4 linked regions of the Caenorhabditis elegans genome follow. The protein of the gene in region 1 purifies or fractionates together with the protein of each later gene. This does not show direct contact. Each region holds a gene or a part of one and is shown in the gene's direction. Other genes may lie near its edges.

Region 1 (8,068 bases):
ACATCTTTAAAATCAAGAAATTTGTGTTTTGAGCATACATGAGCAACATGAAACACTTCAAAACAATTAATTCAGAAATTGAATACAAAAACTGAAACCTATGACTGAAAATATATTCTCGAAAATTAGTTCACGAAATGGTAAACGAAATTTGGTTGTTCCGAATAAGATTGTATAAAATTGGGTTGGAAATCCGGAAGTACAATTTATACAATTATATACCCGTGTGAGGTACATAGATAGAAAAAATACAAATTGAGGGTAAAGTAAAAGGGTCGTAAACCAAGCAGTTGAAAACTGAAAATGCTTGAAAAATTTCACAAAATTTGTAAATCTATGAAAAGGTTCACAAGGTTTAATACTCGAGAGTCACATAATCTTCATAAATTGTGAGTTCCAAATACAGAAACAAAAAATCTTCTTAAAGAAAATTGGAAACATATTTCACAGATTTTCAATACCGAATCATAATAATTAAGCATGTAAGCGAGCTTTTGGAAAACATTTGGTTTCCCAAAAAAAGCTACAAATAAAAAGATTGCAAACGCAAAAAAATTACTTACAATTAGAGTGAAGTATTAGTTCAAAAAGTTCAATATCAAGAAGATCTTTAATCACTTTTTTTCTTCCTGGATTGAAATACGTGACAGACAGTTCTATTGGTGTTCTTCTTTTCAATTTTGATTCCCATAATATGCATAACAAAGAGAAGCGAACCGGTATATAATTGAAAAACATTTTATGAGCTTCACAGTTCATTTTTTAAAGATTTCCACTTGCAACCTTTACATACACTGACTAAAATCTAAGTTTTTCAGGCCAAAATGGACTATCTCACTTTCCTTGCTTGGGTAATCATCGCTGCCTTTTTCTATCTCTTGACACTTCTTGCTCTAAAATTCAAGACCATTCGTCTCCTGATCCTTCTTCTTGCCTTCCTTCCCATTGCAATCATGCTTGCTTTTTTCATCTTCCGCATCCCACAACTTATCAACGAAACTCACAAAACTCAATTCTTTGATACGTGGAAGATTGGTGGACATCGAGGAAGTGCTCATGACAACATTCCGGAAAACAGTCTGGAAGCATTTAGTGCAGTGAAAAGTGAAGGAGGACAACTGGCTGAAATGGATATCCAAATTACCATGGATGGCGTTCCAGTCATTTGTCATGACAGTAACACAGGTGAGGTGTAGCTGACACATTATTTTAATGCAGTCACCGATGTACAGATGTTTGGAGATTATTAAAACTAAACATTATAAATTACAGTCCGCGTAACCGGAGTTGACAAAGAAATTTCTGCAATGAATATAACTGAATTCCGTAAACTCCGATTCATTGGCACAAATGTTTCCCTTCCAACTTTCGAAGAAGCCGTTGCTCACTGTGTTGCCAACAACATCATGATGATTTGGGATGTGAAGAATGTTGATGAAAACTTGCTCAAACAGTTTGTCATTCAAATCAGAACTTACAACCTTTACTCCAAGGTTCTTGTGTCTGGATTCAATCCGATTGACACATATCTTGTGAAAATGGCGGATCCAAAGATTTTGACAGGGTTCACATGGAGAAGTTGGGAGTTGAGTACAACTGATGAAGCAGCGACGACTCCACGATTCACTGGAACCCTTCACGCTGTCGCTAGTGTCCTTGACGTTCTCGCATTTGGTTTGGCTCGTTCGTTGATAATTCCGAAATTCCTCGGATCCGATGTGATTTTCTATCACGTTAGCGATATCAGCAGGTAATTTTGAAAAACAGTCTAGCGACCACAATGAATATCTTTTTTAAGGTTCCTAAAAACCGATGCAGCAGCCAACAACATTTACCTTGCCGGATGGACCAGTAACAATCAATACGAACAAGTTTGGCTTCGTGATTATCTTAAAGTTCCGTTCCTTACCGACAATGTTGGCACCGTTCCACACTAATACGGGAAAACAACGCATCAGTATCAGTTTTTTGAAAGAATAAACACGGTTACAGCTTAATTGTTTAATTTTAATGCATTTCGAACTGAAAAAATGTTTGTTTTAATGCAACTTTCAATTTTTTCGAGACCAGTAAAATGGCCAAAAAATGGATTTTTACAGACTTTTGATTTTTTGAAGGCTTTTTTCTGCACTATGTAGATTGATGAGAGTTTATTATTTTTGCAAAAAACTAGCACTTTAGCATTTATTAAATTCGGAAACAACATTTAACCCAATTTTTCAGTTTGCCATGGTTAATTCAACTATTGTTCCAAACTTGATTCGGACTTGAATCGTTCGTACTTTCCAAACATCAGCCACATGATCAAATTGATAATATTCTATTGTGGTTTGTTCAAATGGCGTTTGTCTTTGAACAAGACATCAACACAGTATCTCGTTACACCACAATTCCTGATTTACGCTACACACTCTTCATTCTTCTGTTCCCTTATCAAATTTCTTCCATCATTAGTTGTTCATCACACACCTCATCAAGCAGCGGTTAATGACTTTTTTTAGAATGGCATTTTTCAACGTAGTTTTGTTTTCCGAGTTAGAAATGAAATATCATATAAAAATGATGGTACAGCTCCAACAAGCTTGCAGTATCTCTCAGTAAATCACAATAATTTTTAATTGAATTGAATTTTAGTTTTGTGATTTGGTAAACCCTTTCAGACTTTTCTCTAGGCTACTGTCACAAAAAATCACAAAATTCCTTTAAAATGCATATGTACTATTAGTTATTGACACAAAACCTCGTCTCTATTTAAATGGATTTAAACGATGGCACTTTCATTAGGCAAGACTTTTTTATTCAGAGAGAAATACGAATTTTATCGAAGATTATTATTTTGAACATTTTATCAATTTAATTTCATAATTTTCATGGTATAATTTTATTTCATTTTCGAATACAACCCTTCTATTTTTTGTAAAAAATTGCAGCTTAACTCTTTTAGTTCTATACTATTAAAGCAACATTTAACTCACGACTATTCAAGAAATATGTTCAAATTACAATACCCAATCTCATCTTTTAATTTTCAAATATAACGATTTCCGTTTATGTAAAATACTTTTGAAATTTGGAAATTCACCTATAATCGTTTTGGTAATTGAACGTTTGAGTGAAAAGGACAAAAGGATTATACTCACCAGGTTCTCTTCTACAAGCAATGTGAATTCGTTGGCAGTTTACTAGTAGCACACAGCATAATCAAGAAATTTCATTTCACTATGGCAACTTCAGTTTTTAATCACATTTTCAAATTTCCTTTCTGATATTTGCAATCGTTGTGAAAACTTGACTTCTGTGGTTTGCAAGAATGGTCGAGTTTTATTTTAAAGTTTCAACGAACTTCATTTTTTGTATTAATTTCTTTGTTCTCTGTCACTCGTTGAATCATTAAACTCTTATCATAATCGTTCCACGTTTTCACCCCAAGCTTATCAGCTTCTATGCTTCTCACATGTTTATTTAAGAAACATATCAGCTTCTGAATTTGTGCCCTATTTATTATTTTAATATTTTTTTATTCTAGTTATTTTTTCCAGAACCATGGCATCTATGAATGACTTTATCGGACGATGGAAGTTGGTCCAAACCGAGAACTTTGATGAATACATGAAGGAAATCGGAGTCGGGCTCATCACAAGAAAGGCTGCTGCTCATTTGAAGCCAATATTGGAAATCCGATTGGATGGAGAGACATGGAACTTTGATCAATTCTCAACATTCAAGAACACGAAATTGTCTTTCAAGTTAGGAGAGGTTAGTTGCAAAATTTTGAAAAGGACTAGAGTAGAGTTAATCTTTTTAAAAATCAACTGATAAGAAAGTGAGAAGTGTGTGTAAAGCAAATGTGTCTATTGAAATAGTATATCGTTTTAAAATGAGAAATACATTTGTGTTTCAGGAATTCGTTGAGAACAGTCCAGATGATCGTACCTACAACTCTCTGTTCACTTTTGAAAACGGAAAACTGACTCATCGTCAGAACAAGATCAAGGAGAATCACAAAAGTTCAGTTCTGACAACATGGCTTGAAAACGGAAAACTCATTCAAACCTATCAATCTGGAGATGTCATTTGCCGTCGCGAGTGGGAGAGAGAATAATTTATTTTTAAAATCATGCAGTTATGAGCACTTTGAATTATGCACTTTGAAATTGGTTTTTTTAAATAGTTTTTCATTCAAATAAAACATTTTGGATCTATTTTTGGAAAATTAAAACAATACAACTAATCCATCAGAATCTGAGAATTTCAATATTCGCAGTTCGAAAAGCCAATTCGATTAATATATTTTCGCGCGCATAACTGCAACTGTGACCCTAGCCTTCCCCACATGAAACACTGAAATAACATAGAAATTAGGAGGCAGCAGAGAAACATACAGCAACGGCGCTCTGTGGAGAAAGAGATGGCAAGGGGTACATGTTCTTTTTTTTACAAAAAGGTGTGTGGATGAACTTAATTTTTAGTAATTTTGTCTCTACGCCCAACGGTCTTTTATGGTTCAAATAAGGTAGTTGTACCCCAAAACGTCTTCGAATTTTGAACAATAAAACGTGAACTAACTTTCAAAAATTAAAAATACTATTTCTCTGTTTTTTTCCTACAAGAAAATTCTTGTATAACTGCATCAACTCTCTCATTTAATCTTTTTGCTTCAGTTCACCTCAATTCAAATAGGTATACTATACCAAATGTTTGAATACGCATCGTTTTTAGATAAATCGACTTATTTTCTACGTTTTATGACCTCTATTCAATAGCAAATATCTCTCTGGAAGCGTTTATGAGTATGGTGTGGCGATCTATATGTTAGGTTTTCCAGTTCTTATTCATGCTCGTCGTTCTTACTTATTATTTTCTGTCCGTTGTGTTCTATCCATCAAACTCCCTTTTTTCAGAAATGCCCGCATTTCCACTGTTCCATCTCCCGTACGTCACACTGAAAGACACAGTTCTAAAAACAAATGAAATGGCACTGTAAGTCTCAGAATTCTTTTCAGGCTCAAATAATTAAAAATTTTGTAGATTAAATTTGGCTCTATCCTCCGATAAATCAAGAAATCATGTGAAAATGTTCAAAAAGCCTATAAACTTCATTTGGCTAAATATTTATGAGGATTATTGCTTAATAGATGTACAGTTCACAAAGAAAAGGAACATCTATTGGAAGATTCACAAGTCAAGCAAGCCCCTAAAAGGTTCAAAACGGAAAATCGATAGTTTTGTGATTGACAATATGGAAATCAAGAATCGGTGAGTTCTTTAATTATTCATTCAAGTTTCAATGGCAGAAAGGGGGGCCTAAAACAATTACGAAATAACTTTTTTTTTTGATCTGTCAAAATATTTGATTGTTTTACGTTCGGAAAATTATTCAGGGTTTTTTTTTCAGCCGTCATCAACTTCGAGATAAATACGTGATAGAATCATATTGTGACAACGACAGAATTGCCTGCATTAAGATTGCAGAAGTAATGCTTGACATTTTCAAACCGAATCAATTAAATGTCTACATCAGCCGAGAGGAAACCGACGATATTTGCAATTTCATTGCTTGGGATAGACTCAACCAAGTCGACGATTTGACATTCATCACATACTTTCGTTTGACGGACAAAGAGTTTCATCTATTCAAAGTGAAAATTCTTCCCAAGAAAAAACTTACTTTAAACTTTTTCAACTATGAAAACCAAAATTCAATTCAATTGGAGTTCAATCATGATAATCTTGAAATATGTTCTGCACCGTGGTTTACTCGACAGGATCTTTTGAATACTAACTGCCAAAATTTGGTGATTGATAAAACCAAATTAACTAACAACGATCTGAATGCTTATATCAAAAAATGGTTGGATGGAGCTGATACAAAATTGGAATCCTTCAAAATTGAAATCGAAGATCCTGATTTGGATAAAATTCTTGATGGAATTCAAACTAAAAATGCGGAGGACGTTCAAAGAAAACAAGATTTGTAAGTTGTCAAGTTTTATTCTAAACATTCTAGAGGCTCAAATCTACAGCAACCCTAGGAATTTTCAAAACTCCAAGTTTTTTGTTCAATGTCCAGTAAATTCAGTCAGAAACCTTTGAAGAATTTTATTTTTAATTTTCAAGAATTTAAATTTACAAAAATGTTTAATTTCTATAATATCATTAACTATATATAAAAAAATACAGTTCGTCTGTCCGGAGTTTGTAGTCTATGTAGTCTTTGTAGTCTGTGACGTCACGCCCAAATTTCAGTGAGAATAGTGGGCGTGGCACCCTTCGTGGTGATACCCATCGTGGTGAGACCCTTCGTGGTGAGACCCTTCGTGGTGATACCAATCGTGGTGAGACCTTTCGTGGTGAGACCCTTCGTGGTGAGACCAATCGTGGTGAGACCCAAAATGTTGGCGGGAAATTCAAATTTTCAGTGAAAAAAATTTTAGCGGGAAATTCAAATTTTCAGTAAAAAAAAATTTTGGCGGGAAATTCAAATTTTCAGTGAAAAAAATTTTGGCGGGAAATTCAAATTTTCAGTGAAAAAAAATTTTGGCGGGAAATTCAAATTTTCAGTGAAAAAAATTTTGGCGGGAAATTCAAATTTTCAGTGAAAAAAATTTTAGCGGGAAATTCAAATTTTCAGTGAAAAAATTTGGGCGGGAAATTAAAATTTTCTGTGAAAAAAATTTTGGCGGGAAATTCAAATTTTCAGTGAAAAACAATTTTGGCGGAAAATTCCAATTTCTGAGAAAAATCGAGAAATGTCTGCAATGTTCCAGAAGTTTCTAGAAAATTCGAGAAAATTCCGGAATGGTCCAGAATTTTCTAGAAAATTCGGGAAAACTCTGGAATATTCCAGAACTTTCTAGAAAAATCGAGAAATGTCTGCAATGTTCCAGAAGTTTCTAGAAAATTCGAGAAAATTCCGGAATGGTCCAGAATTTTCTAGAAAATTCGGTAAAATTCTGGAATATTCCAGAACTTTCTAGAAAAATCGGGAAAAGTCGGCAATGTTCTAGAACTTTCTAGAAAATTCGAGAAAATTCCGGAATGGTCCAGAATTTTCTAGAAAATTCTAGAAAGTTCTGGAATGGTCCAGAAGTTTCTAGAAAATTCGGGAAAATTCTGGAATATTCCAGAACTTTCTAGAAAAATCGGGAAAAGTCTGCAATGTTCCAGAACTCTCTAAAAAATTCGATAAAATTCTGAAATGTTCAATTTCGTGGAAAAATTCAAGAAACTTCTGCAAAGTTCTACACGGGGGTTCTGGCTCGACCCCGCGCTCCATTGGACACTGAAATGGCGGGAAAAAACTTTGAAATCGCAAGAGGAATTTTCACGCAGCGCGTTGAAAAAAGTGTATGCATTTGCGCGTGACGGTGTTTCTTCAAGCTTTGATACTCCTAGAATATTCTGAAGTTTCAATAATTTTAAAAAAATATCAAAAATTGTTATAATTTTCAGAAACGCTCGCCAAAAACTTTCGGAAAGGACCGGAAAATGTTTCATATGATTTTAAGAACGTAGAGAAAATTATACGTTCAAGAAATTTAGAAATAGTTCCAGGAAACTTGAGGTTTTAAGTTGTAATTGCTCAGAACTTAGTTATATAATATTTATGTTGCTCGAAAATTTCCGGTAACCAGGGAAAAAACGTTCCATCTGCAAAGAAGGCTTAGAAAATTTAGAATTTGATTTCAATTTTGAGTACGCCAGTCGGAGCACGCGCTTCAGCGCGTGCGAACGGCTGGTATATTTATATATCATTTCCAGACTCAACAATCCCCCTTCATCCTTTGAGATCTTGTTTGGAATAAGGAATGAAACATCACTGGGTCCACTGATTACAAGAAGTGATAATCGAATGGCGACAATTATTTTGGATAAAAAATGTGTGAAGTTCTCGCTTTGGAACAAGTGATGTCCGGGCACATGTCGATTCCACATTCCTCGATTCTCGACATTCCCCGACAGAGATTCCTCGAGAATTGAATATTATAATGTTTTTTGAGTTTATTCTCAAATATGGTTGTTAAATAACAGTTTGAATTGTTTTTTTGTAAGCCATAATTAAATTGTG
Region 2 (7,875 bases), on another chromosome or scaffold:
ACTGTTTTATTCTATGTGAGACATGTTTCATTTATAATTAATGGTTAATAAGATTCCATCACGAACTTTTTATTTGCATGAAAATTCTTTAGCTGTTATTGCATGAGGTGTGCTAATCCAAAAGTATGTGATGGAATCTTAACGTTTGAACTTTTAAATTTGTGATTTTAGCGCGTGGGAGCTGTGAGAAAACGGAAAATTTTTAAGGGGTCTTAAAATTTTACTGTTGATATTTAAAAATGAGGTTTTATAGTTTTTTGGCTCTATCGAACAATTTTTATTATTTAATCTAATAATTATCTTCTTTTTATGATTGTTTAGCTGAAACTGATGTATTTTCTAATGCCTACTTCTGGAAATTCGATAAATTCGAAACTGAAAATAACAATATCAAAATTTACTTTAAACTCAAAGAGCAAAAATCGTTCAAAATATAGTCAAACATTCACTCTCAAGATTTTGATTTTTTTGAAATTTTCAAACTTATTGGGTTCATAATTTTTACAAATAAATAGATGAAAAAATAGTAATATTTGAAAAGTTTACAAACTGATGTTTATATCCTTTTGGTACTGACCTAAATTACGAGAAAAGTGTGTGTGACGTCACATTTTACAGACGCGAAAACCCGACAGTTACTGTAGATCAAACACATTGTCAGATAACTAGAACGAACCCTCTGTTTCTCCTTGAACCAAACAATTTTTTTCAGATGAGTCAACCAGAACGCGGAGGAGCAACCGTCTTCAATCATCTTGGAACTGCTGTATTCCCATCGAAAAATGATGCTCTCTTCTGGTATAATCTTAGAGTAAGTGTTCATTTCTATTTTTCCTCGCAATTTGGAAATATTTCAGAGAGATGGAGAAGGAGATCTTCGTACCCGTCATGCTGCTTGTCCAGTTCTTCTAGGAGTTAAATGGGTCTCAAATAAATGGATTCACGAGAAAGGACAAGAATTCACAAGACCATGTGGATTGGAGGAGGAAGTTCAGGAGAACTTTATTGGAGATTTGTCCCCATATGCCAATGATCCATAGATTTGATTTTTTACTCTCTTTTTTGTTTTTTTTTTTAATTTCATTGTTGCTTACTGGTGTTTCACGGTTCCAATATTTTATTTGATCGCCAAAAAATGAAAGTGTTCTGGTTTTAAAGAATGAGTTTTTGATATTCTGAAATCTAAATTCAAAGCTGTTTATGCCTGCTTCATGCCTGCCTACATCAAACCTACATCAAACCAAGATTATAGTCATGTCTACTTCATGACTATAATCTTGCCTATCTATGTTCCTACCTATTCAAAATATAGTCCAACATTTAAAAATCCTGTGAAAAAATCACGGTTGTGGCTTGGATTAAAAATGATTCGATTCAAATCAGCATAAATATCTCCCTACGTGCCTGCCTGCCAACAACTCTAACAAACATGTAATTGTACCTGATACATACAGTTTTTCCTTGCCATACTTTATTAAGTTAATCAAAAATTATTTCAAAATTATATGGACAAATTAAATATTATTAACTTTAAAAAGACTTTTAATTTTATTATTTTCCTTATTTTCTTCTTCACTTCCTTGCAACGCACTCTTTAAGTCATTCTGGAAATTTGTTTTGTTGAACTCGATCTCGAATTTAAGCAGTTCAATCATTTCGTTTTTCTGAAATTATAGTTTTAAAATTTAATTCCATGTAAGAAATCCGAACCTCTTTAATAATCTTTCTGGCTTGTACCAAATCATCAACCAACTCATTTGCATCTTCCTCCGCAAATTCCAATGATTCCAGTTTTTGGCTCAATTCCTTTATCACCTCGTTTCGCTCTTTCAGTTTTCTCTGAAGTCCACCAATTTTTGCCACAAAATCTCTTTGATGCATTCGAATTTTGATTAAATGATTGCTGATTTTACTTCTCTCTATTTTCATCTCCTTCTGGTGCTCTTTAATCATTTCCTCACTAGACTCGCACATTAATTTTAGTTGGTAATGAGCCTGCAAACGTTGTATATAAAAAAGAATGTCAAGATGCCTGCCTACATGCCTGCCTACCACCTAGCTCTATACATTTTGGCATGCATTCAGGAATTTAGTGAACCTCTAGAAAGTAAAACTGGGAAAATTTCCAAAGAAAATTTAGTTAATTTTCACCAAATTTTCGAAAGTTTTTTTTTTTAAAGTCAAACATTTTCCAATAAAATATTTCGCATTTTTTTCAAAAAAAACACATTTTCCCAAAAAAAATTCGATCCGTTCTACTGTCTATTTTAAAATTTAATAAATCTTCTCAGCTTTAAACACCTCTTAATTTTTTATGAGGGGCTCCAATAAATAGCTTGAGGGGAACACGATTATTGGAATTTACTTTTGAAATTGAGAAATTTTCAGACTCTCGAGAATTTCATTGATAATGCTAATAAAATATTCAAAAATATAAAAAAAAACAACAAAATTTACCTTTGCCTTTTCCTCAACTATTTGCAACATTAACAGAGCTACAGTAACCGCGTACAGTAACCCGAATAGAATCGGGAAATTATCCATTGAAAGTGTCATATTCCCGTCTTGAAAGATATTAGTTAACCACGACATTATAAAATAAAAAGATTGTCTTATAAGATAAGTAACAAACGAATGAATGAGCCGGTCGTCTTAGTCAACGGGTCAAGTGTTTCAGCCGCGTTCGTGAATCAATAAGAGCTGGAATTGCCTCCTGGCATTAGTGACTGTAGTCCACACTTTCTACTGCCTAAATTATCCATACAGGGCAATGTGATCAATTGATCAATAGGTTATTAAATATAACTATTTTATGCAGTGCAGTGTTTCATCCTTTTGGGAAAATTCACGGAATCAACAGGTGAATTTATGTTTTTTAGGGTGTGAACACAAATTGTTAATGTTATAATTGTCCTGGAGAGCCTTTAAACATTTTACAATTAATATATTATAAATAATACGTAGAAAATCAGTATTTGAACAGGAAAGTAGACATTTTAAAAATTTGAAATTTGAAAAACCGCCACAAACTCAAGCAACGACACTCCGAGATTACGAATCGCGCGTTGTTTACCGTAAATTTACACTAATTTTTGTTCTCTGAAATTTTTTTTTAATTGAAAAGCCGTCCATTTATTTATCTTTTTTTGTCAAATCCTTGTGTTTTACGTGGATGTTTGCATTTGTTTTTTATTTATTTAATTTCGAATCACTCAACTTTTTATTGATTTCTGTTCCTCAGGTGATGGCTGCGCGTAAGCTGATCGCACGTATCAACCCAACGAACAGTGCTCTTTTCGTCTGTGATCTTCAAGAGAAGTTCGCGTAAGTTTTGAAAGAAACTAGTTTATGAGCAAAAATAATTTATTTAATTATTTTCAGGTCAAATATCAAATACTTCCCAGAAATCATTACAACTTCGCGTAGATTGATCGATGCTGCCAGAATCCTGAGTATTCCAACCATTGTTACTGAACAATATCCAAAGGGTCTCGGACACACAGTTCCAACTCTCAAAGAAGGTCTCGCCGAGAATACTCCGATCTTTGATAAGACGAAAGTAGATTTTCAGATTTTTGTTCATAATTCAGTCTTATTCCAAAAATTTCAGTTTTCCATGTGCATTCCTCCAACTGAAGACACTTTGAAGAAAGTTCAAAATGTGATCCTTGTCGGAATCGAAGCACACGTATGCGTTCTTCAAACTACATACGATCTTTTGGAACGTGGCTTGAACGTTCATGTCGTGGTGGACGCTGTCAGCAGCCGCAGTCACACTGATCGTCATTTCGCTTTCAAACAGATGGAACAAGCTGGAGCTATCTTGACAACTTCTGAAGCTACCATTCTCGGACTTGTCGGTGGATCGGATCATCCAAAGTTCAAGGAAGTTCAGAAGTTGATCCTTACTTCAGCCCCTGATACTGGCCTCGTCCCGTTGTCGAAGCTCTAAATGTTTTCCGTTTACGGCTTCTTTTTTTGCCATGTAGATTTGTGTTTAGTACCTCACTATGTGTAATTACAGCATTTAACCGGTTTTCGTCCCATAAATTATGGTGGTAATTTGAGTCTTTTTGCAAAACGTTTCTTTCATCGCATCTCCTTGCCACCGTTTGACCATCACATCATGTTTCAAAAGTGTGGGTAAACATTCCGAAATTCGCGGAAACGAAATGCGCTTTGAAAATTTCAAGTGGCTCACACAGTAGAGCCCGCTAGTCCATTGACCTCCAATGTTTGTAGTTTGCGAAAATGATGGTGACGATGGTGCAAAGAAAACTTTCAGTTTTTTTTTTCAGAAAAGTCAGGTTTGTACAACACACATGCCACCACGTGGCAATGAAAAAGGCAGAGGCAACAAATAAATTGGAAGCAGAGACAATAAAATGGGTGGGTGATCTGATCTGTTGTGACGAACAAAATGATGATGATTGGATTCGCGAGCTGTTGATGAAATATGCAGAAATGAATCGAGAAAAAGAGAAGAAAAATACCCAAATATTCAAACAGACAGACGAAAAAAATGTTTTCCTGATTCGAGGAACGTGTTTTCTAAGTGGAACGACGGCAAAATATGGGTTGGTCAGAACGAGAGAATGAAGAAGCACAAAGTGAATATAGTATGGGTGATGTGGAAGGGGGTATGCAAAATTGGAGAGAGAAATGGAACCCGCATCAATGTAATACAAATTGTGTGTGTGGTCAGGAATCATGATGGGAATCTAGTGGGGGAAATGAATTAAAAACTTGGACAAAAAAAACATCTAATCGATCGAAATCTGGAAAAAAGAAAATAACAACTGATCGGGATTGAAGACGAGTAAAAAGGGGTCGAATGATAGGAAGTATCAGGTGAAAGTATATGTTCGAGGTAAAAAAGTCGTTTCTTGTTATAAATTGGGGGAGAACGAGCTAGGATTGCAGGCATTCTAGAAGGCATCTTGAACTTATATAAATACGAAGGAGATTATTTACATCATTATATAAGTCTTTTGAAGACTATTAAAATAAGTTCGTTCAGAAGGCGAGACGTTGATCTGCCAGTCGATTATGTGGTTTGATGCTTCCATAATAGCGGAGTAGGAAGTTCCTTATCTGAAAAAAAAATTATATTTTTCAGAAATGCCAAAAAAACAAACCTGCCGCCGCGAAAACTGTCCTCCAGAATGACACGTTGGACATAAGAAAGGTGCTGGGAACTGCATTTTCGTGAATTGTGGATCTTCTGTCGAGTCACCATGCAACCGATTGTTGACAATATTATGAGCTCTCCAGAGATACGTCATCATATCGTGTGGATGACGAACTCGTCGTTCATTCAATGGGAACAGTGTCGTCGTCATATGCATGAAATGATTACGACAGTGTTCACATCCGAAATAGCTCTTCACCCATCCCTGAATTGTGCTCAGTGGTTTCATTGGATTCACATAGTCATCTTTGATTGTATCAATATATGTGTGAACAGTAAGAGCGTGGAACGTTGTCCATAGACCACATGTGTATCCACGATACATTGGAGATGATCCTTTACAGTGTTGCCATGTCGAATTGACTGGGAATGGGCTGGCGTAGACACGTTCCACACTTTCGAATTGTCGACGATATTCATCAGATGAGACAGAACCAATTGATTTGCGACCTTCGAGGAATTCGCGCATGTGTGTGAACACAAGACGAGCTCTCTCAGAATTACGAAGAATCTGAAAAATATTTAAATTTATTCTTGGAAATTATTTTCAATCAAAAGTTTACTCACCACAGACGTTGTTCTCTTCGCGCGCATTCTTCTGATGTCATTTTGGAAGGAAAGAACCGGGAAGTGCTGAAAAATGTCGAGATAAAATATTTTTTGTAAATTTTTATAGCATCCAAAGCCAGGGTGTTGGTTTTTCGATTTTTCACGAAAATAGGAATTTTCGTTTTTTCCAATATTTCGAAAAAATTTCGATTTTTCTGAAAATTGGAAAAATTATATCTTATGTTTTTTCTGATCAAAATAAACGAAATTCGATAAACTTTTTATTGTTTTGTTGAAAAAACTTTTTTTCAGAGAAAATCCTCAAACTATTAATAATTGAAAATTAAAAAATTTCGATTTTTCTGAAAATTGGGAAATCTGAAATTTTCGATTTTATGTTCAATTTTTGGATTTTCTTTGAAAACTATTAAAAAAATGTCGTTTTTCGATTTTTTTCTTTTAAAAAACCCGAAAAAAAAATCTCGATCTTGTCTAAATCTGTCTTCATCTAAAAAAATACGTACATTTGATAAAAGAGTCATAAACTCGTGCAAATTGGTGAAGTTATCGCCTCGGATTGCTCCTGGAACTCGGGTGACCTCGTCGAGAAGAGCCATACGCATTGCTTTGAGCATATCAGTCTCAGAAACATAATACATATCACGACACCGTTCTGGATGTGAGTGACAATCGATAAGTGGAGTATTAGTGGTTGTTGTAACTGGAGCCAACGTCGTCGTCAGAATTGGTGCACGTCTTCCACCTTGTTCCATATCATTTGTGATAGCATCATCAATATCTTTTACAGTTTGATTTGTGTATCTTTGCATGTAGAGTGCTTGTTGATGGTCTCTTCTGAACAGTGCAACAGTTGGGAAATTGCGAATATTGAGCATCTGAACGAGTGGTGAATTCGAAAGTGCACGGCGGGCACCAAGAATGTGACTTCGGGAGATAAGATCCATAACGAATTGAGCACCAACTCCATCATACTCTTCAAATAGAATTGCCATATAGTTTGCTTTTTGTGGAACTCCATCCCAAAGTTGTCCATAAGTGGTACGGCTGTCGACGGCAATGTGTCCAAGGTTTGGCCAATCAGGATATCTGAAAAAAATCAATATTTAGTAAATAATTGTATTTAACACAAAAAACCTGTTGAACATGTACTCGTTGCTAACTGTTCGTAGCAAAGCATCTCGAATCTGTTCAGCAGAATGTGGCGTCTCAAACAGTTTTCCTTGAGTCGCTGTTGTGGCCGTCCTTGCGAAGTACTGTAAGAATTATGAATTTTCTTCAATTATTTTAATTTGCAAAATCTTGACACATTTTTTTCTTGTTTTAAAGTGCGAACAGTCCCCCCATTGCTCGCCTTGTATCTCCAATAGAAAAAAGAACGAACAAACGCGCAGCACAATTGCCTCTTCTCAGATTTCAATTTAAAAAAACGTCTTTCGGTCTCCTTGTTCAAGAGGGCGATTCACGTCAATCCGGTGGTGAGAAAACAAATAATCGATTGCGGGTCAACATTGCAATGAACAGATCTTCGCATTCTTTGGTCGAAACATGATATATCCAATTCAATTCAACAGTATCTACTATGATCAGTGGTTAGGAAATCTCAGAAAACTCTACGATCAATTGCGATTTCTGGGTCAAAATACAGTTTACCGTCTCGACACGGCAAATTGTTCTTAATTACAAACGGTCGCGTGCCTTTGAAGAGTACAGTAGATTCGAACATTTACAAATGTGGAATTTCAATCAATTTTTCAGTCTTTTTTTCATGATTAGTTTTGAAAAAAAGCTTTTTTAAATAAATAAATATATTTTCGAAAGTTTTCAACTACAGTACTGTTTAAAGGCCCACACCGTTTGAATTTAACGAAAAAAAAGCGTGTCGAGACCGGGTACCGTATTTCGCAAAATTTCGCGCCTGGGTGATATATTACTCATCAACCAGATCTACATGTTCTATGCACCATCAATGACTCATAAAACCACTCTCTTCCAGGAAATAACCTATCACACTTATCAATTGACCTTCTCTGCGTCTCTAGAAATTCGGCAATCCATTCAATATATATCCGTTCTTCTTTTCGAATCAAAAACCTGTGCACACACACACACATGAA
Region 3 (8,675 bases), on another chromosome or scaffold:
GGCACGAAGGGCTCTCTGTGTGAATGTGAAGCCTGATTCGGAGCCAGCCACTGCATTGCACCGTTGCTTATCTTTCTCTCTAGATCTCTCTCGCTATTCCATTAACTTCGTGTGCTCAGTGCTCGCGCCCTTCTCGTTTTTTTTTTCTGGCTTTAATTTTTTTCTCCCTCGGAGAATAATGAATTCGGGAAATTGAATTGGACGCTGGCTTCTTGAACTAAATTTTTCCGCTGCTGGCATTTCTCCGTTTCATTTTTTAGCCTATAGCATGTCAATTTAAAAATGACAAAATATACATATTAATTATTTTATTGCACTTGTCCTTGTGACATTTCAGAGTAGTTCTAAATTTGTCCTTTTGTTATAGTATTCGTTTGGCTTTTTCTCTTTTTTCTGATGTCCAGTGAACGGAATGAAATTAAATACTCTCACTATCATAATCACATGATAGTTAAATTTCTGAACTCAGGTTAAAAAAATTATTCAACTTTTGGTTTATTCTCAATGCCTATAATTATTAAAAATTTTATGTCTACTCCATATTCTCCTGTTTCTTTTTCTACTGGTCGCATGAAAACACAAGTTAGTAGAATATGCTATTGATGAACATTTTTATGAGGTTTTCATATTACATTATTAGCTGTTTTTGTGTGGCTGGTCTTAGCTTTTCTGGCGTGTAAGAAAGTTCCAGTTTAGTCTTAAACAATACACATAGTACATACACATATATCCCTCTACATTTATTTTAAAAATTACTGAGAGTGAACTAGAATGAAACACGTAGAAATCCCACTTACATGCAAATATATGTACTTCCAATAAACTTTTCTTTACTATTAACGAGCGTTCAATATGTTCTAACATTCAATTTTTCAGAAAAAGAACATGGCCGACCTAGACATCCTGGAATTGTTTCGGGCCGTTCCATTCTTCCCCGATGCAAAAGATCGTGTCAACAATGAAATGAACCGTATGAAGGAGGACATGGAGATCCTTCTCAATACATGGACCGTTGAAGAAATCCGTTCAATATTCAACGGGCCCACACGTTATAGGTGCCTAATTGAGCAACTTCAAGGTGAAACTCTAACGGAAAAATGCAGCAGTGCGTTGAGAGTTGGTGGATTCACATTTCTCACTGATGCTATTCATCTCTGCGACTTTACGATGGCAGAGCATCTTAGGCTTACAAAAATGAATGTGTTCTCTCATCTGATCTCTCGTGACAACTTCTTCCGGCCGAAAAGTAAAAATGTGGAAACCAAGCACATCGAGCAAGATGATGTGAAATTGTTCGATCTCTTAAAACTTCCTCCGGAGATGATAGAGCAGATCATGCAACGAGTAAGTTTTCAATTCTGGGAAAATACTTCTAAAAATAAAAAAATCTGAATCTCTCCTTTTCAAAAAAACAACGTTAAACACTTTTTGAGCAGATGCACTTCCAACCGGATGATTCCTAAGATTAAAAAAAATTTTCAGTCGGCTTACAAAGACGCTCAAAGTCTAGCAATCACGTGCAGTGCTGCCAATAACATTTACCGACAGAATAGTCTGAAAATGGTGCTCCCAGATGTCATTTTGATTCTTGACTTCTCCAGTGGCGAGATGAATGTCCGATGGATATTGGAGAAAAATCAACAAGAAAATGAAAGCGATCCAGACTCTGAAAAATGCTTGAATCAATCCGAAGTCAACGAGAAGAAGAAAACCCAGCTGCTGCGTAACACAACTATTTTAAAAATTGTCACCACTGATGATTTCGAACCGGAATACTGTGAAGCTGTGCACAACTTCGTTGGATCCAGAACATTTAAAAGAATCATTGTCAAGGGTTTCGAGTACACGGAGAATTTGAAAATGATGGTGGAAATGTTTGACAAAGAAGTTGTGGAGATTGAAGTGAACGCACTAACTGACGACTTCATTCCGTTCCCAGATGTGAGTTGTACTTAGAATTTGAGAAAATTTGAATTTTTCGTGTTATGGTTTAAAGAGCGTTCCAAAAAAGTAGGATCATGCAATAAGTTAATAAAAATTCCAATATCCCCTAAAAGTTTTAAATGCAATAACTGAGACGCAATTCAATTTTAAAAGTATAGATTTTTTTTGGCCGACTTCCAATTTTTTTGACCATAATTGCAAACTTTCAAGTTTTTAAAAATAATTTTTTACAATTACATCAAGGCAATTTAGTACTTCATGAGCTGATTTAAATAATTTCCCTACTGAAAATACTCTACATTTTAATTTAAAAATAAATTTAAAATAAACAAGTGTTATGTAGAAGCAATACAAATTTTCAGATCAAAACCATATCCATCCGCGACACTCTCAACAGGGATCACGGAGAACGGCTCTTTTCTGCGAAGCATTTTGTCAACATCAATTGTGCTCTCAACAATATCGACACATTCCGAAAAGCTCTTCGTGATTGGGATAATGGACACCGAGAAGTTGGTAGATGGGTAATTCTGAAACAATTCACCATCTTCCAAACACCCTTTGGTAGACGTCATCGGCCGAAGACTTCCTTCCGAAAGGGGTATTTGGAGTTTATCAGTGAGCTCAACTCATCACAAATGCCACATGGAGAAATAACCGAATACGTTTTTCACGAGACTAATTAACATGATTCTTAGCGAAAATGAAACCAACTAATCTACTTTTATGAGAAAATTATTTATTTCTTACATTCCCTAAAATTTTCTATATAACAATTTTTCTATAGTTTTTTATAACAGTTTTTTGTAATATTTGTTGTCACTAATTCTTGTTCATCTCAAAAACTATTAGACTCCAACCCGGTTTTTTTTTCACACAGCTCATTCCACTTCTAAGTTATTGTTTTGTTTTGTCAAATCTCCAATTCCCAAGCAAATCTATTATCCAGTCATTCATGTTGATGAAACAATAAACTTTGGTACACTTTTTGTAGATTGGTTTTCGTCATGCATTTTCAGTAGTAAAAAAATCTAAAGCGTGATACATTTACCGCAAAGTAACATTTATGGGTTAATACTGTGGTATAACAAAAATGGCCTCAAACAACCAAATATGTACCACCTATAGTATGCCAACCGGCTTAACATGTGCCTAAATCGATTAAAAAACAAGAAGTAAAAATAGAAATATGCCTAATAAGTTTATAATTAGAACAAATTAATTTCAGCGTTCTGCGAGTGCTGATTTCAGATGAATTTGATTTTTTCTTTTGAAATTTTATATATTCGTTTTGAGTTTTGTTTTACTATATAATGTCGAGATTTGATTTTTCTAGGAAATTGATAAAAATATTTAGGTTCAAATTAAAGTATATAAAAAAGCAAGATCTAAAAAAACTCGCAGAAAACGCGCTCTTTTAATTTTTGTCTTATTACTAAAATTTTCAGCTGAATTAGTTTCCATTTAATATTTGAAACCTTTTAAAATACTTCTAAAAGTTGAAAATTATTAAGAAAAACAAAAATTTCACGAAAAACAAAACAAAACATTGATGCCCTACTTTCTCTGGCCTTATACGTGGCAAGGCTTGCAGCTCGCTTTGGCTGGCAGGACACGTGTAACTTTTGCACTCTCATTTTTTTCACAGTTTTGTAAACAAAATCTCTTTTTAGTTTCTTTTTTCTCTCTTTTAACCGTTTTTTTTTGCTATTCCTCTTTTAATCTGCCTTTTGCGCATTTACACTGTACTTAACTTTTTGCCGTTCGTTCGCTCTTCTTCCCATGCATAACACTTGCCATTCCTCCTTTTTTCCCACACAAACAACAACTATCGATTTCTGGTATTCCAATCTTCTGTTGTTTTTTTTTGTTTTCTCTCTTACCAGTCTCTTCATTCTGGTTAGCATCTATCTCAAACTGTTATAAACCCTATAAAAAGTGCGCGCGCGTACCTTTCTCTTTTACCACTGACTGTTTCACATTTTGAATCAAATAACAATTGAACGTAGTTGCAGCGATTGGTGATGTTGAGAGCGCCAGCTGCCGAATCGAACAAGGATGTGATTTTGGAGGTGTTGAGAAGATTCGCAACATCTGGAAAGAAAGTAAGTTTTTAAAAAATGTGTTTCACATTTTTTTAAAATGAAAACATTAACGATATATATATATTTTTTTTTTTCAGGTGTTCGAGCTAGCTTCTGGAACTGGACAGCATATGGAACATTTTGCACGGGCTCTGCCGGATGTCACTTTTCAACCGACTGAAGTTAATGGTCGATACCTCCATTCCATCGTTTCTTATTTGGATCAAAGTCAGGTTAGTCAGCAGTTAGTTGCCCTGCCCAAATTTCCACTTTTCACAATAGCAAAAAAGAGATAATACTTGAATTAAAATGACTGCATTTTTCCACACTCCTGTTGAAAAACCTTTAAAAAATTTTAATTGCCAGCAATTGACAGAATGTTTTAACAAAAAACCACACTCCAGACTGTTGGGGTGAACAATAATTCTAAACTAATTTTTGATTTCTCTTTTTTTACAACTTTTTATGAAAACTCAACTTTATGTTTTTGTAACCATAAAGTAATATTTTTCAGTTTCCAAACGTCCGCATCCCCCTCTTCATCGACGTTGCAAAACCATTCAATCAATGGGCTCTTCCTGCGGATTTCGGACCTCATATGGTAAATTGTTTCCAGACTATATTGGAAAATAACTTCGTTTTTTTTCAGGTCGACATTGTTCTCAATATCAACATGATTCACATTTGCTCCACGGCTGCAGTTAAAGGCCTTTTTCAAGTAAGTTTTTTTTTTTGATAAATGTCAAAGGTGAAATACGAATTTCAAAAATAGTAGGATAAATTTCAATGGGACTGAATTTTTTCTTCAAGTTGCAAATAATTTTGAAATAAAAACAAATTTTATCACATCAAATTCAAACACTTCTGAACTAATTTAACCTTTTTTACAGTCTGCCGACTTGCTTCTTCACGAGACGAACGGAATCCTCATGACTTATGGACCATATGCAGAGGATGGACACATTTCACCACAATCAAACATCGCATTTCATACAAATCTGAAAGCTGAAGATCCGGAACATGGCCTCAAGGATATCAAATATCTGGAGAGGGTAAGGAGATTTTTTTTTAAAGTTAATCTCGGTTTTATTACCATGAAACTGAACGCTTAGTCAGAATTTTTTTCGAGAATTTAAATATAAATTCATAGTTTATAACATATTGAATTTTCAGCTTGCAAACAGTTCGAACCTCCGTCTTGCCGAAAAGATTACAGTTCCGAAGAATAATTTCATTTTGATCTTTTCCCGTTAAACGCTTGTACTTTTTATTTTCAATCTGTTCTCCTGTACTTGTAATACTTGTAATACGCTAGATTTTCAGCGATGCATGGCCTTGATAACTCCTTTTAACTGCAAATAATATTTGCAATATTACGCTCTTTAATATAATATAAAGCATGTTTGATTTCAATATTCTATGATATATGATGATTTTAAAGCATTTTCAAGTGTAATTAATTTCTCCATTTTCAGGTTGAAGTCGATATTAACAGTTGTCTTTTTGAAATGGATTCCAAATTGCTATTTAAAAATTTTATTCAAATATTTTACCTATTGGAAAATAATTACTCTTTTCAAGAAACCATTTTCGAACTTCCTCAAGAAACGTTTCAAGTATTGAAGCAGGTGTTTTGCCACCTTCATGTTATGTTTCTTTGACGCAGTTATTTCTGGTCTAGTGAGCAGAGCCGATTCTTGGTGTTAATGTGAAGTCATTCTATAACAGTGGAACTAGACATTTCAAAAAGAAGTGCGCGGATGTCAAATTAAAAAAAAAACTTAAAAAAAAAAATTTAAAAAAACTCTGGAATTAAGAAAAGATTGACTATATGGGTGATTGTACGGATATTTTAATGCTTTAAGAATATTTGATTGGCATTACAGAAATAGATTTTGTTCGTTCTGCTGAATTTAAAATTGCAGCTGAACCCAGCAGCATCTAAGCACAATTACTAATTTTGCTTGTTTGTATGTTTCGATTTGCTATCACCAAATAGTTTGCGCGTGTGATTTTTATTTTTTTATTTTTAAGCGTTTCATTATTTTTTTTTAAAGTTTTATCATCTATCATTTTGTGACAAGTAAAACTTTGTCTGGTTTATCTGATCTGACCAGAAATCGCACAAACGGGTAATAATCCTTTTAGCTTAAAAGTATGAACATTTCAATGTCGCTCGAGTAAGATCAAAAAATCAATCTAAGAAAAAATAGCGCTCAACAATAAAAAGTATTTTTATATTTATTTACTTCATTTTATTTACGATCAGCTTTTCTTTTAAATTTGAATTTCATTTATTTGTGTGCAAGCTGCTAAAAAAGTTTCTTGATGCATTAAAAAACAATTGATTTCAATATTCATATTACAAGTGCGTGGAAACTTCTGGTTTTTTTTTCAGTTTGTGTGATTTGTAACAAGTATACAACAAATGTTTATAGGCAATTTTCCAGTTAAAACATCTGCTAGGAGATCAACAAAAAGTTCAACAGCCGGAAAATTGGAATTCTTGGTTTCCCAGCGTGATTTGTGTCGAATATTGAAGCTACATTAATGAGCACCTTCGATATTGGAGATGGTAAGTAGTTTTTCTGTGTATTTCTGAATTGATGTTCCAGCTAATTTGTGAAGTTTCGGCAGCTCAAAAACTAAATCCTTCTTTTAAATGTTGTAGCCTACGGGTTTTTTACCGTCTTCGACAAAATTGAGCTATGTCTCATCGGATTCAGAATCATACATCATACATGAATCATACATGAATAAACATCGGTACATAAATACGAATTTTGTGCAAAACCCCAGGCGTTCTGTTTTACACTTATTAGATGTCAAAGTGAAAAGTTCAACCAACCATAAACTTTGGAAAGTGTAAAATTTAAAAAAAAAACGTGTCTATACCCCATCAACTGTATATGAAAGATTCTTACTGATAAAATATCTCATCGTGAAAGGTGAGCTTTCCCTTTTTGTTTGGTTTTTTTTTAGTAGAAAAGTGGTAGCAATTTTGATACACGTCTCATTTGTGACCCAATCACGTTTAATGTGCCTCTATGAAATCTTTGAATATTTGTATTTTTGATTGAGATCAAATTTAGGTATTTTTCAAAGATTGAATTTTCTTACCGTAGTGATGTGGTATTCAAAATGTACTCTTGTAGTATAAAATTTTGTGCTTTGCGGTAATTTCTCTACCAACTTTAGCAACTTTGAAGTTGCCAATCGCAAAAATTGCTGAAGATGGGCAAAGTCTGTTAAGTTGGGGGTTAGCACCTCAGCTGCATCAAAATTAACTCAAATTGCTAGAGTTAGATGAAAAACCGAAGTATTAGTTTTTGACCCTGTTTTGCAGGAATGCAGAATAAGAACTAGTTCAAGATGATTACAAAATTGCAGATGTTTTTTTTTCAAATCACGAAACCACGCGTTAAACGTACATATTGTTTCCATATTTTATGACAATTAACAACTTAGACAACATTTATTTTATTAATCCTGAACGTATTTTAGGTACTTTTCAAACTCGCAATGTTTCATGAATCAGATTTTTCAATGGCTACCAACAATGCAATAGTATATTGTATTCTCACTCTATCAATAAAATCTCAAATTCGAAACAAAATTGAAAAAAAGGTTTTTTATAATGAAGCCTCAAACTGTTTTAGTTAAATAATTTAAGTACATTAGCCAAATAATTTCATTTTCAAACTTTTTTATTTGCATTTTATTGTAAATATTTTAGTGTTGATCAAAAGTAATTACCTGATACGCTTTAATTGTCTCTGCTTTTGTTAGTTCAATTTTACGTTAGCTGTTTTACAAAAAAAAACATAATGATTCATCAACAAAGTTTTTAGCTACACTTGTTCTCACTATCAGATAACTCAAATGTACCAGGTAAATTCCCAAGCCCGTCATTCAAGACAAAACTTTTCATAGTTTCTGAATGTTTTCCCACGTAAGTTGTCTTATCCAAACATCAATTTTTACAAAATTTAGAAAATTTGAAAGCAAACTGATAATTCAGAAAACATACCCAGTTAATATGAGTAGAAAAAAATTCATAAATTGATGTCACTAAAATTTTAGATTGGGCAATTTTTTATTGATCTGTTTATTGTACAAGTCTCAAGAAGACTTCGAAAAATATTTTCTTGAATTCCAATAAAACCCATGATGAGGAATTCTCAACTTTCTTTGTTGTGAAGGTGGCATACTACGTATAAAAGAGACTTTCCCAAAACAAGATTTGATTAATCTTTCTGATTTTCAATTGGAATCTGTTAGTAGATTCAGATACCACATTGGTTTCACCGTCTTCAAAAATATGTTTATCACAAGCGCAACTATTTTTATAGTCACTTCAAAAACTCTGATATACAGTGAAAAACATTCACTCCGGAAATTGATCTAGGTATAATGAATTAAAAAGAAAGGGGCTAGAAAAAACCATTCAGTATATTATAGATTGAATTCACTTCTTTAGAATATCTGATTGTAAATATTTTACTTTTTTCTCCATGACATTAAACATAAAGCACAATGTGCATTCTGTTTTCCTGTATTGAAAAATCACCCGCTTTCTTCTAGTAGTCAGTACATCCCAGAAATTACCCATTTAGAACTTTCACTGACCACATATGTTATTATTTC
Region 4 (8,739 bases), on another chromosome or scaffold:
AAAAATATAAATAACTAAAACTTCCGTTATTCCACGCAAAAAAAATTCGAGAAATGTTTAATCTTTCGAAAATTTTCTAATTTGTTCAAAAAAATCATTATTTAAAGTTAAATCACAAATTGAATTTTCTTTGATTTCAGGCGTCTTTCAGTGCGATTACGAAGCATAATGAGCCTGAAATGCAGTACTTTGACGCGTTCAAGCCAAGCTCTACAGCGATAGTCTGCATAGAGAAATGGTTGTATTTTCAGTCATATTTTGGAAATCAGCAGTACCAATCCACGTATAGGTAGGTATTTTCGAAACATTAACGAAAGTTCGGTTTCTGGATTTTCGAACACTACAAAAATTTACAATTTCAGGTTAAACATCTCTATTGAGCCGATAAATCAAAATGGGCGATTCAATCATACTTTTGACGCAGACGTCTCGATGTCGACTTCATTTGGAAATCCAAGACCAACAACGACAAGAAGCTCGGCGGGACCCAGAAACATGCAGTACAAGGAGGAGAACGCATGGTTTTCAAAGCAATTTTTAAAAATATGAAAAAATGTGTTTCAATTTTCAGGCTAGCAGATGCTGCAGCTGACGGAGACGATTGGAAGGATCCGTCAATGTCAGAGACGGGTCATAAACCGATTTCAGAGGGCTGCAAGACTACGATCAGCTTGTGGTGTATGAGTCCAGCATTGGTTAGTACAATATAAGTCCTATAATTCTATAAAACTAATACAAAAATTAAATTTCAAGCGTGAAAATCGAAATTTCAGTCTTTCTTCGACGCATTCAACGAAACACGTTCTATAGTCCTCGCATCGGGTACTCTGTGCCCAATGGACACTTTGAAAACCGAATTAGGAATGGAATTCAAGCAACAAGTAGAAGGAGATCAAGTCATTAATAAGGATAACATTTTCGCAGCGGTTTTGCCAATTGTAAGGAAAACATTTGGTTAGGTAGCGTCGTGTGGTGCCCTGAGAATTACCGAACGAATGAAATTTATTTCTTAAAGAGATGACAGGGCACGTGTTGTCAGACAGTCTCATTGCAGGCTGATCTACAAAACATGCGGGAATTTTACCCCAGAAAAATGTGACGTCAACACACTCTTCATCATGCGAAATCAGTTGAAAAGTCTGCGTCTCTTCTCATTTCTCGAAGATCAAACCAAAATGAGGCAGGAATTAGGATTTAAAATTTTTGATGCAAATTTATGTTAATTTACTTAGCATTAATGCTAGCATTGAAAAAGTATGTCATTCGTCCTATAAGTCTCCGGCTAGCATACAAGGTTTATTTTCGAAAATACGGTCTAAAAACTACCAAAATAAAAAGGAAAGCCTTATTAATTTAATTGATTTAAAAATTCCAGGGTCCCTTTGGAAATCGCATTCAGTGCACGTACCGCAACACGTCAGATCCGGAATCTTCATTTTATTGCGAGCTTGGAGCAATTATCAAGTACGTTGGCGGATTATTTTTCGAATTTTCTACTTTCAGAGAGACTTGAAAAAAATGAATAGATTTTCAACAAAAATGTCAAATTTTGTTTAGGTTATTTAAATCAAGACTTGTTTAAAACAAATATAATTTCTGAAAATTCAAATCGGAAAACTTAGTTTTTGTCTAATTTTTTATAAAAAGTTACAAAAGCCTTGAAAAATGTTCCAATTGTTGGAAAATTTTCGAATGTTAAGAAATCAGCTCATTTTTTGCAGGTATGTATGCAGTAACGTGCCAGCAGGAATTCTATGTTTTCTCCCCAGCTATCGAGTTCTAGATCAATTAAAACAATGTATGATCCGTAATTCAACAATGCGACAAATCGAAATGAAAAAAGTTGTGCTCTACGAGCCGCGAAGATCCTCAGAATTAACATCAGTAATGGATCAATTCGATGCGGCGATCTTCGATCCGTCTAGATTCGGTGCAAACATCAACGGATCTCTTATGTTTGCCGTTTTTCGTGGAAAAGTTTCCGAGGGCATTGATTTTGCCGATGATCGTGCGCGTGTGGTGATTTCTGTCGGAATTCCGTATCCAAATGCGATGGATGATCAAGTGAATGCGAAAAAGTTGTATAATGATCAGAATTCCAAGGAAAAGGGGATTTTGACTGGCGATGAGTGGTATACCACGCAGGCCTATCGAGCATTGAATCAGGCTTTGGGAAGGTGAATATATATACAAAGCCGCGTGGAATAAAAACTACGTTTTTTTTATTTAAAAAATGTTATGCTATGCTACAAATGTTCAAAACACAGCAATTTTCTACTGTAACACATAATTCTGAAATTTGCGCAACATTTTTGACGCACAAAATATCTCGTAGCGAAGACTACAGTAATCCTTTAAATGACTACCGTAGTGCTTGTGTCGATTTACGGGCTCGATTTTCGAATTTCCTAATCGAATTTTGACAGCAGTATTTAATTTGTCTTTTTTTTTCTGTATTGTTTTGTCATTTTTGTGTTAAAAAAAAATATTTAAATGAAAAACGTCCAATATTGCCTTATAGGAAACTCATACAATCGTATTTTTACATTATTTTCCGTCTATTGCCGGGTTTCACCTGGAAAACCTGCAATAGACGGGAAATAATGTAAAAATACGTTTGTAAATAGGAGTTTCCTCATCAAAATGAAGGCAATATTACACGTTTTTTTCTATTAAAACAGTTGGTTAATGAATAAAATTTTTTTAAGTACAAAAATGACTAAACAATACGAACAACGAAGGAAAATTGAATATCACTGTCCAAATTCGAAAATAAAATCGAGCCCGTAAATCGGCATAAGCGCTACTTTTAAAGAAATACTGTAATTTTCGCTGCGAGATATTTTGCGAGTCAAATATGTTGTAAAATACGCATTCTCAGGATTTAGTGTTCCCGTAATATCAAATCTATAATATCACGTGAAATAAGGGAATCAGTAGAAAAACCATCTGGCCAAATTTCACTACAATCTAAAATTCATTAAATCTTCAGATGTCTCCGGCACAAAAACGACTGGGGAGCAATGCTAATGATCGATGAACGCCTAGAACGTCAAACTGGAAATCTTGTGGGCGGAGCCTCGTCTGCTCGTGTCTCAAAATGGATTCGTGCTCAACTGAAAAGCTATCCGAGTTTTAAAGAATTTAATGCGAATTTTCGCGAATTCATCCAGCGTCGACACGCTGTTGAGAAAGCAAAAAAAGAGAATTTTTGTGAATGAATTAAACTTTTTCTAACTTTTTTTTTTCGATTAAAACCCCCGCCCCTTATCTTTTTTACGTGTAAAATTTATGATTTTTCCTCATTTTCTTAAACAATTTTTAGACGTCTTTTTTAAAAGTTAGAATCTCCCTAATGCATTGTTTTTACCCCTTTTTTCAAATCGATTTTCATAAAGCTTGGCCGAACTTTTTCTCTCTTCTCTCATTATCACTTATCAGTGTTTACCTTTACACCACTTGTACTTTGAACTGTGAAATGCTGACAACATTATAGCGTTCTCAGTAGCCTACGAGAATTTTTCTAAAACTTGCCTGGAACCAGTTTGAACGCAAAATTTTTCCCTTTCGAGTGTTCAAAATTAATTTTCAAATTTTCATTTTGTTCGAAAAAGGTTTTGGCGTATGACTCTTTCCGAATATCTTTGTGAAATTAAAAAAAAACTTCTCGGATTTAATATTTCAGCTTGAAATCTCGCACCCAAAACTTAACGCGCCAGAGGCAGTCTCATTGGGGCGCACCGTGCTGTGTCGATTTACGGGATTTTTCACCATCTGTCATGTTTTTTCAAAAACTTTTTTTTTGGTTATTATTTGGAAAATTGTTTTTTCCGTGTCAATTGAACATTTTATTATATCCAAATCACAACTCGATGAAAATCCGAATTTTCGAAAAAAAAAACGATAAATTTAAGGCTTTTTTAGTTTAAAAAATTTAAAGATATTCGGAATTAGGGGGTTGGAATAATTCAGTGAATGCGTCTTTGAGTATGAGTTTTTTGAAAAATTACCTATGTACTTGGAAAAAGGCCATCGAAATTAATAATATATTTTTGTTTCAATATTTATAATTTATTTAAAATTGTCTAATTTTTGCAGCCTCTGAAGAAAAAAAATGTTCAAACGAGTATTCAATCTCCGTTTTATTTCGAATTTCTCTCGCCGCCCGACATCTTCTCCAAAACTTCCGAAATTAATTGCAATCACTGGTGGAACCTCGCTTGGAATCGCATTTTTTGGAAAAACTGAAGAGAACAAGAATTTGGACTCAGGAAATGGACAATTAATTGATGGAAAACCGAAAAATTTCGATTTAATTGTTCGAAATTCGGATGAACTTTATGATAATTATCTAATCGATAATTGTTATAATATTTTGAAAAAGTGAATTTTCAATTAACTTTTAGAAATGTCCATTTTAACTTTTCTTTCCAATTTTTAAGATTTGAAAATTCCAATTGCTCCGAGCTTCTATGGCGTCTGGCACGTGTGGTTTGTGAGAAAGGAAAACTCTCAAAAGATCAAAATCAACGAAAAGAGCTCATTTTGGAAGCCTATGGAATTGTGAAAAAAGCTCTTGACAATGAGCCAAAGAATGGATGCTTTGGAGCACATAAATGGTACGATTTGGAGTTAAAACGCTATTTATTCCGGGTAGAACAACACAATTTTGCGAGAAAAAAAAACTATGACTGAGGGTGGAAATCGAAAACTGAGCACCTGCCTTTTTTGGCGGCTGAGTTTTAGCATTTTCTATGCCACATGGCTATCTTTAGGTATGCCATTCTACTGGATTACGTTGGAGAGATCGAGGGAAACAAATCGAGAATCGAAAAATCATTCCAAGTGCGGAAACATTTAGAGAAGGCGTTATCGATTTTCGAGAACGATCCAACAACGTGGCATATTTTGGGTAAGGGATTCCGGATTGAACAGAGAAAAAAAAAGAAAAATCATGTTAGAATTTATTCACGTGGAGTCAGACGGTCCCTTTTCGCTTTGATCTACGAAACATGCGGGAGGTGAGACGTAGACATCTCAACTGATTTCGCATGGTTAACAGTGTGCTTACGTCACAAATTTTCTGGGAAAAAATTCCCGCATTTTTTGTAGATCAAACCGCAATGAGACTTTCTGACACCCCGTGTTTATTCCGAATTAAAGCTCTACAGCTCACCGTTCAATCAACGGGGGCGGGCGGTGCTTAACCATTATTTTTTTTAGATATTTCTGCATTTCGCTTCGAGAATTAAAAAGAAAACCTCAAATTTCAGGAGTCTGGCACTTTTCCTTCGCCAATATGGGTTACGCGACTCGAATGGTGGCCAAAGCTATTTTCGCAACTCCACCAGCATCCACATATCAGGAGGCTCTACACTATTTCCTAAAGGCTGAACAGATTTCGGTAAAAAAATATCAGAATTCAAACACTTTTAGTGAATCTCTCATAGTCAATCAAAAACATACAAAAATGAAAAGTTGTCGACCAAATTTTTTTACACTTTGAACATTTTCCTCCACTTGGGAAGTAAATAGTGCCACGAAAAATTCAGATCATTATAGTTAAATTCAAATTTTCAGCCCGGATTCTACAGTACGAATACCTACTACATTGGCGAAGTGTACGAACAACTAGGACAAAAAGCCGAAGCACTTGATGCATTCAAACAATCATTCAAAATGCCAGTTGTGACTTCTGATGACGCGGTTATTCATAAGAAAGCATACGAGAAACTGAAGAAATATGGAGTCAAGGATACTGAAGTTGTTTAGATTGTGAAAAATATGTATTTGTAAGATGATTGTTGTAATTTTTAACAGAATAAAAATATTTATTTGAATTTAATAATTGTCTAATGTCAGCTAAATAATATTGTCGGAAATGAGGCACCACGGTTTCAAGATCTGGTGAAATTCCGGATCTACGTTTTCCGGAAATACGATTTCCGGATCTACGTTTTCCGAATCTAGCACCGTGCCAACCCACAAAACGCTTTTTTATTCACTCGACGCACGTTGTTTTTTGAAAATTTCTTCTAGAAGAAACGCTTAACAACACGCGACGCTTAACAACGGAGCATCGTTGTCACGTTTTTCTCCGAGAAAAATAGCGTTTTAAGAGTTGGCCAGATCCGGAAAACGTAGATCCGGAAATGGTAGATCCGGAAAACGGAGATCCGGAATTTTACCAGATCTTGATACCGTGGTGCGAGGCACCACGTTTTCAAGATCTGTTCAAAAACAAGATCTACGAAAACAAGATCCACCAAAACAAGATCTACGTTTTCAGGATCTGGCACCGTGCCAACTGCGGTTTTCTCGAAGAAAACGAAACAACGATGCTCCGATGTTACGTTCGCGTGTTGTTTAGCGTTCAAACGAATATTTTTTGAAATTTTCTTCTAGAATTTACGCAACACGCGTACGCACGCGTAGAGAAAACCGCAGTTGGCACGGTGCCAGATCCTGAAAACGTAGATCTTGTTTTGGTAGATCTTGAAAAGGTAGATTTTGTTTTGGTGGATCTTGTTTTCGTAGATCTTGTTTTTGAACAAATCTTGAAAACGTGGTGCCTCCGTGGTGCCTCTCGGAAATTCAATTGTATTGCTTTAAAATTCAAATTCTGCTCCTTCCCTCCATTTTATGATCTGGTGGCCTAGAATTCCACCCAACTCGTCCTCTGGCCGAGCGCGCGAAATCTTGCATTTTAAACTCGATTTCCCATGAAATTAACTTAAATTTGCCATTTTATCTAGTTTTTTCTTTAGTTATTTGATTTTCAGTATTTTCAGACAAGTTCGGTCATCGCCAGCAAGCTCAATGAGCTCCAAGGATGACATTCTTGCACAGGCGGTCGAAAAGTTTGTTTCAAGAATGGAGAAAGTATAAAATCTTCTTTTTTTAGTGATTCAAACTACAAAGAGCGGCTTGCCCTGATCAGATCAAATGATGAGATTGATGCGAAGCTTGGTTTCTCTAGATACACAGGACTACAGGAGAAAAAAGGATTTCTGATAAACATCCAACCTTCGGAGCTTGTCGACGAGCAAACCAAAGTTATTATTTCGGTCGTTGACTATTTCTTCATCAGTGATATGGACGAACGCTTCAAAATCAGTTACCCATTTCGACCGTATTTCTATATTGCCACGTTGGATGGATTTGAATTCCAAGTATCCAGTTATCTGTCCAAGAAGTACGGAGCCCAGACAGCAGTTGAACATATGGATCGGGAGGATTTAGATTTGAAAGATCATCTTTCTGGGTTGAAGAAGACATATATCAAACTCTCATTCACCAGCACCGTGGAATTGATAAAAATCCGTAAGGAATTAATGCCGCTGGTGCGGAAAAACACAGATCGCATCAAAAAAGAGTCGGCGTACGCTGACTATTTGGCGAGGAATCTGAGTGGAAAAGGAGGAGATAGTAAGGATCAACAGTTGAATGGTGACATCTTGAATCAAATTGTTGATATCAGAGAATACGACGTGCCTTTTCACATGAGAGTTTCCATCGATGAAAAGATCTTCGTCGGATTATGGTTGGAATCATCCTTTTCTTCTTTTTTAAATTCTAAATTTATAAATTTCCAGGTACGATGTGAAAGGAATTGGCCCGAACCGTGTTCCAACAATAAAGCGAAAAGATTTGCCCTTGTTCCACGCAAAGCCGAAAGTTCTCGCCTTTGACATTGAAACAACGAAACTTCCGTTGAAATTTCCGGATCGTGAGAGCGATGAAATTATGATGATATCATATATGGTTGATGGACGTGGATTTTTGATTATCAACCGAGAAATCGTGTCGGCTGATATTAATGCGTTCGAATACACACCGAAAGCCGAGTACATAGGAGAATTCACAGTCTGGAATGAGAAGGACGAAGCTGCTCTGATTCGGAAATTTTTCGATCATTTTTTGCAGGTAAATTCTACTTTTAAACTGAATTTGATTAGAATCATTTTCTTGCAGGTTCGTCCAAATATTGTTGTCACCTACAATGGAGATTTCTTCGATTGGCCATTCGTAGAAGCTCGTGCCAAGATCCGCGGATTCAATATGGAAAGGGAAATCGGATTTTCTAAGGATTCCGCCGATGAGTACAAATCACGAAATTGTATTCATATGGACGCTTTCCGATGGGTCAAACGTGACTCATATCTACCGGTTGGAAGTCAGAATCTGAAGGCAGTGACGAAGGCAAAGCTGAGATATGATCCAGTTGAGGTGGAGCCGGAACTGATGTGCAAAATGGCTCGAGAGCAGCCTCAACAGCTGGCCAATTACTCGGTTTCGGATGCAGTGTCCACTTATTATCTCTACATGAAGTATGTTCATCAATTTATCTTCGCTTTGTGCACAATTATCCCACTAGGAGCAGATGACGTGTTGAGAAAAGGATCTGGAACACTTTGTGAAGCTCTTCTGATGGTTGAAGCATTCCATAACAATATTGTGTTCCCGAACAAGTACACTGGACCAGAGGAGACAAGATTCAGTAAAGATGGACATCGTGTTGAGAGCGAGACCTATGTCGGAGGACACGTGGAAGCTCTGGAGGCCGGCGTATTCAGAGCGGATATTCCAGCAAAGTAAATTCAGGATTCATTTGAAAGCGAGAAAATAACGATTTTTTCAGATTCCGGCTTTCCGTTCCTGCTCTTGAGCAATTAAAATCCGAGATTCAAGAGACCCTTCGCAAGGAGCTGGCTCGAGAGTTTGAGGTCACTCTTGACC

Evidence for each region.
Region 2: the proteins of lbp-7 (region 1) and marb-1 fractionate together in Caenorhabditis elegans (co-fractionation; one large-scale study listed by BioGRID). This does not show direct contact.
Region 3: the proteins of lbp-7 (region 1) and Y26E6A.3 fractionate together in Caenorhabditis elegans (co-fractionation; one large-scale study listed by BioGRID). This does not show direct contact.
Region 4: the proteins of lbp-7 (region 1) and F33H2.6 fractionate together in Caenorhabditis elegans (co-fractionation; one large-scale study listed by BioGRID). This does not show direct contact.

The regions. Positions count from the first base shown.
Region 1 is NC_003283.11:13,876,013-13,884,080, forward strand, and holds lbp-7 (Fatty acid-binding protein homolog 7), read left to right. Parts: upstream 1-3,539; 5' UTR 3,540-3,543; coding exon 3,544-3,756; intron 3,757-3,901; coding exon 3,902-4,102; 3' UTR 4,103-4,201; downstream 4,202-8,068. Other genes in the region: T22G5.1 (GP-PDE domain-containing protein), read left to right, coding at 825-1,185, 1,273-1,750, 1,799-1,937; T22G5.3 (F-box associated domain-containing protein), read left to right, coding at 4,904-4,980, 5,029-5,256, 5,396-5,974, 7,762-7,909.
Region 2 is NC_003282.8:12,204,377-12,212,251, reverse strand, and holds marb-1 (Isochorismatase domain-containing protein 1), read left to right. Parts: upstream 1-3,241; 5' UTR 3,242-3,244; coding exon 3,245-3,324; intron 3,325-3,381; coding exon 3,382-3,559; intron 3,560-3,610; coding exon 3,611-3,952; 3' UTR 3,953-4,064; downstream 4,065-7,875. Other genes in the region: phy-2 (Prolyl 4-hydroxylase subunit alpha-2), read left to right, coding at 1-15, 713-811, 858-1,040; F35G2.3 (uncharacterized protein), read right to left, coding at 1,515-1,664, 1,711-1,995, 2,458-2,544; F35G2.1 (Sulfhydryl oxidase), read right to left, coding at 5,017-5,094, 5,139-5,702, 5,759-5,824, 6,265-6,847, 6,896-7,014.
Region 3 is NC_003284.9:13,905,180-13,913,854, reverse strand, and holds Y26E6A.3 (Methyltransferase-like 26), read left to right. Parts: upstream 1-3,904; 5' UTR 3,905-3,968; coding exon 3,969-4,049; intron 4,050-4,126; coding exon 4,127-4,261; intron 4,262-4,542; coding exon 4,543-4,629; intron 4,630-4,677; coding exon 4,678-4,746; intron 4,747-4,918; coding exon 4,919-5,080; intron 5,081-5,201; coding exon 5,202-5,282; 3' UTR 5,283-5,484; downstream 5,485-8,675. Other genes in the region: Y26E6A.2 (F-box domain-containing protein), read left to right, coding at 886-1,344, 1,483-1,941, 2,307-2,630.
Region 4 is NC_003279.8:15,011,955-15,020,693, reverse strand, and holds F33H2.6 (Regulator of microtubule dynamics protein 1), read left to right. Parts: upstream 1-4,098; 5' UTR 4,099-4,114; coding exon 4,115-4,383; intron 4,384-4,442; coding exon 4,443-4,619; intron 4,620-4,775; coding exon 4,776-4,912; intron 4,913-5,273; coding exon 5,274-5,404; intron 5,405-5,580; coding exon 5,581-5,772; 3' UTR 5,773-5,840; downstream 5,841-8,739. Other genes in the region: dog-1 (Helicase ATP-binding domain-containing protein), read left to right, coding at 141-289, 363-521, 572-695, 774-938, 1,376-1,464, 1,722-2,177, 2,993-3,221; pole-1 (DNA polymerase epsilon catalytic subunit), read left to right, coding at 6,820-6,860, 6,905-7,543, 7,596-7,926, 7,975-8,594, 8,642-8,739.